Oryctolagus cuniculus: one gene and its partner. The protein of the gene in region 2 purifies or fractionates together with the protein of the main gene of each other region. This does not show direct contact. Links are inferred from orthologs where the notes say so. Each region holds a gene or a part of one and is shown on either strand. Other genes may lie near its edges.

Region 1 (4,687 bases), on a different chromosome or scaffold from region 2:
CAGGCCATCTTTTGTCAGATCCTGCAAACATTTTAATTCTTTTCTAGACCTTTACCCAAAGAGAGCTGTGCATTCATCTGACCAATAATGATATTTAATTATAATAGTTAGTGTGTACAAGGGCTTCGAGGATCATCCCATTAAATCTTCACAACTCCAATATGTATTAGTATCATATCCTTAGTACAGACGGAAATTCAGATAGCTAAGACAAGGTGAAAAATTCAGAGCCAAAGCAACAAACAAGGCAAGGAATTGATCTTATATCTTACTCTCTACCTTATATTGGCTTGTATACTTGAGAAATCATATATACTTTATATATGATCTAATTCTATTTATATAAGCAACACTTTCCATCTTTTAGCAGTATTATTACATCAATAACATGATCTATTTACATCATTCTTTGTGATTCCCCTTGTAAGTTTCCTGCTTTGTTTCTATTTGTCAGACCATTTCAGCTGCTATATTTTGTTAATATCCATACTCACAATGTTTTCATTATCATCATCATGGTTATCACTATTTTCACTGATGGAAAAAGCAAGAATAATAACAAATATGCCAGTGACATTGTCTCCTTTAATCCTAACATCTTCCTCTTCAGCTAAGTAATATTACCCCCATTTTACAAAAAGGAAACAGGTGATATAATTTGCTCATGCTAAATAGCTATTAAGAGGCAATGCATGGAGAGCAGGGTTATGGCACAGTGGGTTAAGCTGCTGCCTACGACACTGGCATCCCATATGAGCACTGGTTCATAGTCCTGGCTGCTCCACTTCCAATCCAGCTCCCTGCTGATGCATCTGGAAAAGACGGCCCAAGTACCTGGACCCTTGCCACAAACATGGGAGACCCAGATGGAGTTCCAGGCTTCTGGCTTTCATCTGGCCCAGCCCTGACTTTTGCAGCCATTTGGGGAGTGAACCAGGGTACGGAAGGTATTTCTCTGTAACTCTGCTTTTCAAATAAATAATAACATCTTTAAAACAACAAAAAAATGGCAATGTGTGGGATTCAAAGACAAATCTACAGACTCTAAAACCTACCCTTTCCCAGAGGTTAAATAAAACATCAATTTTCCCTTAAAATAATTCATTTGGAGCTGGCATTGTGGCACAGCGGGTTAAGTCACCACCTGCAGCACTGGCATTCCATATGGGCACCGGTTTGCCTCCCGGCTGCTCCACTTCCTATCCAGCTTTCTGCTAATGTGCCTGGAAAAGCACCAGAGTATGGCCCAAGTGCTTGGGCCTCTGCGCCCATATGGGAGACCTGGAAGAAGCTCCAGGCTCCTGGCTTCTGCCTGGTCCAGCTCCAGCCATTACAGCCATTTGGGGAGTGAACCAGTGGGTGGAAGACCTCTCTCTCTTCCCCCTCCACCCTCTCTTTATAACTCTGCCTTTCAAATAAATAAATCTTTAAAAATATTTCAACCACTTAACTTGCCATTTAAACATAAAATGTATTTTTGAACTAAAAGACTATGTGAACACTACAAAGCCAGCATTTAGTAAATTCTTATACACAAATAAATTTTAATGGAAATAAAATAGCTCACCATTCTCGTTGCATCTTACTCAGTCCCAAGTAAATTTTTATTTCCTTTTTTGGAGGCAAACTCTTCTCTACATCAGTTTTTATACGACGTAACAAAAATGGTTTCAAAACCTAAAAAGTGATAATTTTATAAAAATATAAAACATTTAACACTGTAAAGCATGTATTTCATTAATACCACCCCAATATGAAATTTACTTCATACCACATAATATGATGAACACTACCAATACCAGTTGCCAAGTTTCTTGCTAAAGATTCAGAAAGTACTGGCCCATTAGAAAATCAGAAGAAGCTACCTAAATTAGATACTCATGATTTGATGGCACAAAATACAATAAATTAAGAAAACAAGATTATTGACTATTAAGCAAGCAGTAAAGGACCCTTTAAAAAAACTTCCATAGGTATCAGCACTGTTGCACAACAGGCTGAGTCATGCTAGTGACACTGGCATCCCATGTCAGAGTGCTAGTGCACGTTTCAGCTACTCTGCTTCTAATACAGCATTCCTGTTAATGCACCTGGGAAACGGGCAGGACATGGCACAGGTACTTGGGCCGTTGTCACTCACATAGGAGACCCAGACTGTGTTCTACACAGACATGTGGGAAGTGAACTACTGGATAGAAAATCCCTCTCTCTCTCTCTCTCTCTCTCTCCAACTCTGCCTTTTAAATAAATTATCTTTTGCCTTTTAAACCTAAGAAAAAATCTGAAGTCAGAGCATTCATCTAAGGCACTATAAAAATGAAATAAAATCACAGGTCATTTCAATATAGTTTAACATATGAATGAAAAGAAAATGGTTCAACATTAAGGAAGATATGGGTGAATCCAGAAAAAAAGATAATATAAAATAATCAGTGCATACCTGGAAGACAGATTCTACCATAACCACAGTGCTACAACTTATAGAGTGTCTACTATAATGTGCCAGACACTGAACTATGAACTTCACAGTAATATTTAATGATTACAATAAGTCTTTGAGTATGACATGTGAGGATTTCAATTTTAGTAAACTCACAAAAGCCACTTTAAGAAACTGAACTCAAATGTAGATCTGGCAGATTCTGATTAGTCCTCGTGAACCTAGGCAAGTTGTTTAATTTTTCCAAGCCTGTTTCTTCATTCACTTATAGAAAAATTAATTTATGTATGATCAGAGTCGGTGAACTCAGGGGGCTTCCATAGCCTTGGCAGCTCATGACAAGAGCCTAGGTTGATTACTGATGCCATAAACAAGAGTGTCAATTTGTTAAGTCAACAACAGGAGTCACTGTGCACTTACTCCTCATGTAGGATTTCTGTCCTTAGTGTGCTGTACATTGAGATTTAATGCTATAACTAGTACTCAAACAGTATTTCTCACTTTATGTTTCTGTGTGGGAGAAAACTGTTGAAATCTTTACTTAATGTATGCTAAACTGATCTTCTGCATATAAAGAGAATTGAAAATGAATCTTGATGTGAATGGAAGGGGAGAGGGAGTGGGAAAGGGGAGGGTTGCGGGTGGGAGGGATGTTATGGGGGGGGGGGGAGCCATTGTAATCCATAAGCTGTACTTTGGAAATTTATATTCATTAAATAAAAGTTAAAAAGAAAAAAAGAAAAAGAAAAATTAATTTATGGTATGCATATATGCCACGTGTTTCCAAATGCTGATAATGATGCTATTTCTAGGGCTCCCATGAAAATTTATGGTAGTAAATGTATAGATCGTACCCACCATAGACATTCAATAAATTATGGCTATTATTATTAGAGATCTATGGAAGGTACGGAATGTAGAACAGTAAAAGAAAACATTAGCAGAGCCGGCGCTGTGGTGTAGCGGGTTAACACCCTGGCCTGAAGCACCGGCATCCCATATGGGCGCCGGTTCAAGTTCAGGCTGCTCCACTTCGATCCAGCTCTCTGCTATGACCTGGGAAAGCAGTAGAAGATGGCCCAAGTCCTTGGGTCCCTGCACCCATGTGGGAGACCAGCAAGAAGCTCCTGGCTTCAGATCAGCACAGCCCTGGCCATTGCGGCCAATTGGGGAATGAACCCTCGGATAGAAGACCTCTCTTTCTCTCTCTGCCTCTTCTCTGTCTGTGTAACTCTGATTTTCAAATAAATAAATAAATCTTTAAAAATTTCAAAAAAAAGAAGACTTTAGGTTTGCAACTCTCAAACTTGTTTAAGAGAGAGAACCTTAAAAGTGTAAACTGCCTTGGAGATACTATGCCAAACACCTATCCCCTAAAGTGCTAAACTTTAAGGGACAAAGAAAAGTCCATATAGGGGACTAAGGGGAGTGGCCAAAGAGGTAGGAGAAAATTGTCTACTGGAAACCAAGTAGCAAAGAGCTTACAGAAGTAGGCATAGTTAGTGGTATGAAATGGTACAGAGAAGTCAAGATACTTATCAAAATATATCCTTAGTTCATCAACTAGAAAATCATTGAAGACCTTATGATCACGGCAAGAGCCTCAGGTGATAACTGATGTCATAAATAAGAGTGTTAATTGTTAAATGAACAACAGAAGTCACTGTGCAATTACTCCCCATGTAGGACCCCTGTCCTTAATGAGTTGTACTATGAGAATTAACTGCAAAACTTGTTCTCAAACTGTACTTTATATGTTGTATGTGTGTGTGTGTGTGCAAACTGTTGAAATCTGTACTTAGCATAGAGTTGGTCCTCTGTATATAAAGTTAAACTAAAAATGAACCATAATGAAGAAGGGGATGGGAGAGGGAGAAGGAAGTTGGATGGGAGTCAGGGTGGGAGGGTGGGTGTGGGGGAAAGAACCACTATATTCCTGAAGCTGTACCTATGAAAAATGCATTCATTAAATAAAAGCTTTAAAAAAAGACCATAGGAAGTACGTCTCAGTTGTATAGAATATACTGAAGTCAGTGGTCAATGGGTTAAAGAATGGATAGCAATTAATGCTATAACTAGTATTCAAACAGTACTTTACACTTTGTGTTTCTCTGTGGGTAAAAACTGTTGAAATCTTTACTTAATATATACTAAATTGATCTTCTGTATATAAAGATAATTGAAAATGAATTTTGATGTGAATGGAATGGGAGAGGGAGCGGGAGATGGGAGGGTTGTGGGTGGGAG
Region 2 (5,239 bases):
GGACCCCGAGCGTCCACCGCCTGCCGCCCCCAGGAGGGTGGTTGAGGCCGGAGGCCACGCCCCCTAGGCCGTCCTCTGCCGCGGGAGCCCCGGAGCGCAGCTCGCTGGCCGCCGGCGCATCCAGGGCTTCTTACCGCCCCTCTGTTCGGCTTGCTCCTGGGCGATCTCCCGTTCCCGTCTCCATGGCGTCGCTCCTGTGCTGTGGGCCGAAGCTGGCCGCCTGCGGCATCGTCCTCAGCGCCTGGGGAGTGATCATGTTGGTGAGGGGGCTGCCCAGCGTGAATCGGTGGCGAGCCTGCGGGGCCGAAGGCTAGGCAACTCCGGGCCTGGGCCAGCAGCAGGCAGGATGGCGGGGCTGGTGCGAAACGAGACCGAACTGAGGCTGCAGAAGAGGGAACTGGAGCCTAGCGGGTGGTGGGACTGGAGCCTAGAATGGGAGCTGGGGTTGGGGTCCTGAGAGATGCTTGGGTCGAACGGAGGGTACAGGGCATAAGGGGTGCTCGTTCCCGAAGAGGGTAGCGGGCTCCACCCGCCCCCACTTCCAGAAGAAATGATTTGAAGAAGTGGCGGTCCTCCCTCACGTCTTCCGCCCTGTCCCGTGAGGGTGACGCTTCTGGGGAGGAGGACAATGTGGGTTCCTGGGAAAGCGCTTGTCCCATCACCCGTCTCGGCATCGCCACCGCACGCCCTGTTCCAGGCGGCTGAGTCCGAAGCCGGCAGCAGCCGCCCCTAATCCTGGTTCATTCTGGTCCATCCCAGGCCCAGGTGTTGTGGCAATATTAGAAATAGAAGGGGTTTAGGGGGTAACCAGGAAGTCAGGTGCCTGAGTCCTACAATCTACCCATTCCTTTTTTTTTTTTTTTTTTTTTTTTAAGATAATGCTCGGAATATTTTTCAATGTCCATTCTGCAGTGCTAATCGAGGACGTTCCCTTCACGGAGAAAGACTTTGAGTAAGTAGTCGGGTGGGGAGGTGGGCAGGTGGCTAAAGTCTGACTTAAGGGCGGGATGCTTGGGGGCGCTGGAGGAAGCAGCTGGCCAGCCGTGTAGGGGTCAGGCCTCAGCGGCCATCGTACGCCCAGCTCAGTCCCCCTCTGCAAAGCGGGCACTGTGGCACTCGCCCCGTAGGACTGACAGCGAGGCGCACAGGAACTGCGCCGTTGAGTGTTGGCTGCTATTAACGCTCGCCGTTTCTCTGCCTAATCCGCGCCTCCAGGAACGGCCCCCAGAACATATACAAGCTTTATGAGCAAGTCAGCTACAACTGCTTCATCGCCGCGGGCCTCTACCTCCTCCTGGGAGGCTTCTCTTTCTGCCAAGTCCGGCTCAATAAGCGCAAGGAATACATGGTGCGCTAGAGCAGGGTCCCTGCTGCCCTCGCCAGCCCCGTCCTCTATTTATAAGACTCTCCCCGGCCCAGGTCACTGGCGCGCTCTGCGGGACTGGGTGCCCCCCACCTCGGCCAGTCTTGAACCCCTGTCCGCCGGCCTCTGGCAGCCCCAGCGGAGGGAGCCTGGGTTGGCCGCCCCCTGGCTCCCCAGCCCTCCCAGCCTCGTCCCGTACCACAATAAAGAGAAGCTGCTCTCTTAAAACTTGTGTCTGTGCTTGCGTGAGGGGGCGGGCCGGAGGTCAGACTCAGACCGGGAACCCCGACCCCCGGGCGGAAATGGAATGGGGCTGACCGGAAGTGAGGCGACGCCTTCCACCACTCCTTCCCTCGGCGCGCCCGGGCGGCCCCAGTGACTGCGGTCGGTGAGGCGGGAACGGCAGGGCTTGGGCCAATCAGCGGCGGGGAGGGCGGGACTTCCTGCACGGAGCCCGGAGCGGCGCGGCAGCCAGGCTCCTTCCGTGGTCCCGGCTCGCGTGGCGGCGGCGGCGGCGGCGGCGGCAGCGTCTCCCTGAGGAGGTGCGCGGGGCCATGACGTCAGCGTCCACAAAGGTTCGACCTCCCTCGCGGACAGCGCTCCCTGGCGGCCACGGGCGGGCGGGTCCCCCGCTTGGCTCCCGGCTCTTCCGCCGCGGGCGGGGGGCGGGCGGGAGCCGAGCCGGGGTGGGGCTAGGGGCTCCGGGCGGGCCGGCGCGGGGGTGTGCGCCGGCCCCCTGTCATGCTGCCCCGCCCCCAGGTCGGGGAGATCTTCTCTGCGGCGGGCGCCGCCTTCACGAAGCTCGGGGAGCTGACGATGCAACTGCATCCCGTGGCCGACTCTTCTCCCGCGGGGTACGTGAGCCCGGGCTGGGACGTGGACGCTGAGGGCGGACGCTCGGACTCCACGCGGACGCGGACCCTCTCTAGCGCAGGGACAGCGGTTAGTTTCCCTGTGGCTGGCACAGCCGGAGCAGGTGTTAATAAGTGATCGTCGAGTGAGTGAGTGACAGATGCAGACAGGCCCCGCCCCGCACTACTTCCCCGTCGTACCCCCGCCACGACCACCCACTCCCGTTCCTCGGGCTGCTGCAGACTGCTAGGGTGCAGGTTGCGAGGCTTTCACGTTGATGGGAGAGAGAGGTGGTCCGAGGTGTCCCGATTTCCCGCAGCCGGGGGGTCCTCCAAGCTTTTCTTCTCCTTACAGAGGGCCTCTCTATGGATCCGTGACCGGGGCCCCAGAGACCGGGAGGCGGCGACTGGCCGGCTGTGGCCCCGCCAGCCGGCTCGCTCCACGCCTCTCCCCATTCTGCTGACCCCTCTCCCCTCCCGACAGAGCCAAGTGGACGGACACCGAGATAGAGATGCTGAGGGCTGCTGTGAAACGATTTGGGGACGATCTTAATCACATCAGCTGTGTCATCAAGGAACGGACCGTGTGAGGGAGGGAGGCGGGCAGAGAACGGGGGGCGGGCCCTTTTCCTCCCCTCACCCTTCCTTCCACCCTCATCACAAGTCCCTTGCAGCTCCGTGTCCTCCCTTGAGGACTGCAAACACACAAGGATGGTCACGTTGGTCAGACATCCCAAAAATGCCCTGGCAATGAGGGCCTTCCAAGAATCTGATTTCAGGTTGTCTGAGAGACACGATCACTGCATTTGACCCACAAGGTTCCCTGGGTAATCCGACAGATCTCTTGAGATTCTCCCACAGTGTTTCCAGGAATATTGCGGTTCTGAATATTGCTTGGGATCTATGAATAAGTCTCCATCTTACCTGGTGGCCCTCTGCAGCCACACCTCTCTCCCAGGAGAGACTCAGGAGGGGTGGGCCTTTCCCCGTACTCAATTCAGGGAGCCCACTCCTCACATCCATCCGCCCGGTGTGAGGGCAAAGCTGCAGGAAAAAGAACCCCACCAAAAATTCTTGCGAAGAGGCTCCCTCCTCCCCCACCCTCCCCACTTGGTGATCACTCCTTCCCTAACCGGCTGTCTTCTCTTCAGGGCTCAGATAAAGGCCACTGTGAAACGCAAGGTGTATGAAGACTCTGGCGTTGCGCTTCCAGCTGAGTCACCCAAGAAAGGGCCCAAGAAGGTGGCCTCTGGGGTCCTGTCGCCTCCCCCGGCTGCCCCCCCGCCCAGCAGCTGCAGCGTCCCTGACGCCGGGGCCCCCCCTGTAAAGAAACAGAAGTCCGGTGAGGGCGGTGGAGTCGCTGCCTCGGCGCGAGAGGTCCCATCTGAGGCTCAGTGAGAGAACTGGGCCTTGGGCGAAGCAAGACAGCTCTTCCGCTCCCTCTGGCTTCCTCTCCCCTGGGTGGGCAGAGGGGGAGGGGGTGGGGCGGATGGGGTGAGCACAGAACTCGGGGTGGTCGGGAACCTAGAGCCTAGCTTGTGCCCCCCTCGCAGACGTGACGCTCAGTGCTCTGAACGACTCGGACGCCAATAGCGACCTGGTGGATATTGAAGGGCTGGGAGAAACTCCTCCGGCCAAGAAACTCAACTTCCACCAGGGTAGGAGTCCCCCTCCTCCCACACCAGCTGGGGGCGGGGTAGGATCTCAGCAGGAGCCCTTCCCTGTGCACTCTGCCGGCCGGGCCGGGACACTGTCTCAGAGGCCTACTTGGGGCCCGCTCCATCTCGGTCTGTTCTCCTTCCTGTTCCAGACAGCCTGACCCTGGGTTCTGGCCGCCTAAAGACCTGCGCTGAAGCTCCTTTGCTCTCCTGCTGACCTCCCACCTCCGAGCCCTCTCACCGTTCGCCTGGACCTGTGGATCGCCTGGGACTCTGAGCGAGGCCTGCCCGAGAGAGGCGCAGAGGCTGCTGGGGCTGGCCGCCTGGCTGGTCCTGGACGAGCATCCGCCCCAAGCCCTTTGACCTCTGTCTGATGGACATTTTTATACAGAAAACAATAAAGATTTGTCTCTCAGCTTGGTGCTGTCGGGCTCACGTTATTAACAGGAGAGGGCCATTCCCTCTCCTGGCCTCGGCCCTCAGGGGCCCAGCCCCTCCCAGTAGCTCTCGCCACCCCGCCTGGAGCAGCACAGCCAATATTGGCAGACTCGCCTCCCGGTGCCAATATTTCTGTGCTGCTAGAGCCAGGGGAGCTGGGTGTAGGCAACAAAGACTCCACTTTGCTCTCTGGAGCCAGGACGTAGTCCCAGGGCCTCTGGCAGGCAGAAGTCCTGAAACTTCCCTGGGGATTTTAAAGGGCCTGTTTGCAGCGCATTCATCACTGCCCCCCCCCACACACACACACCCCACCACCACCACCACGTCATGAGAAGTTTATCACAAGGCCCCAGATGTTTTTTGAGTCACTTCTCCAGGGTGGCCTCCCAGGGCCAAGCCTCGGCGGTGCCTCCCCCACCCTCGCTCTAACACCACAGTGTGGTTTGGACGTGGCCACAGTGCCGTACAAACCACAGTGTGCTGCTGGGGCGGGAGCAGGATTCGGGTGGGTTGAGAGGAAGAAGACACAAGGCAGCGCTGTGAAGACCCCCATACCACCAACCTCCAAGAGCAGCGAGAGAAGTTTACAAGGCAAACATGGCCCCCAGAGATGATGGGGGCAAACCAGGCACAGGAGTTGGGACGGCAAATGGAAAGAGGGACACTCGTAGGATTGGAGCCATCTTCCCATTGTGGGAGCTCTGCTCAGGGGATCCCCAGGGTTGGGGCGGAGGCAACAGGGAATGACCAGGGACACCAACAGTCTGCCTCCGACTCAGCCAGGCCAGGGACCCGAGGCTTCCTGTGTCCATCCCTCCCTCCCCGGGTCAGAACCCAGGAGGAAACTAGAAGAGACTCGGGGCCAAGGACAGCAGGGTTGGGAGCTGGCAGTCCAGAGGTGGTGGGGCCGGAACACGGTTGGGAGAGGG

The links. Proteins that work in one complex are often made in the same cells at the same time.
Region 1: the proteins of BACC1 (region 2) and SMARCA1 purify together in Homo sapiens (affinity purification with mass spectrometry; 4 studies listed by BioGRID and IntAct, with this or other methods). This does not show direct contact. The link is inferred for Oryctolagus cuniculus from reciprocal best matches to the Homo sapiens genes BACC1 and SMARCA1.

What each region holds. Positions count from the first base shown.
Region 1 is NC_091453.1:107,193,856-107,198,542, forward strand, and holds part of SMARCA1 (probable global transcription activator SNF2L1), read right to left. Parts: intron 1,678-4,687; coding exon 1,568-1,677; intron 1-1,567.
Region 2 is NC_091448.1:51,719,322-51,724,560, forward strand, and holds BACC1 (chromatin complexes subunit BAP18), read left to right. Parts: upstream 1-1,693; 5' UTR 1,694-1,917; coding exon 1,918-1,938; intron 1,939-2,122; coding exon 2,123-2,217; intron 2,218-2,698; coding exon 2,699-2,800; intron 2,801-3,365; coding exon 3,366-3,556; exon of another isoform or gene 3,557-3,675; intron 3,676-3,767; coding exon 3,768-3,872; intron 3,873-4,024; coding exon 4,025-4,089; 3' UTR 4,090-4,287; downstream 4,288-5,239. Other genes in the region: RNASEK (ribonuclease kappa), read left to right, coding at 183-260, 876-952, 1,216-1,357. UniProt on the Homo sapiens protein: Component of chromatin complexes such as the MLL1/MLL and NURF complexes.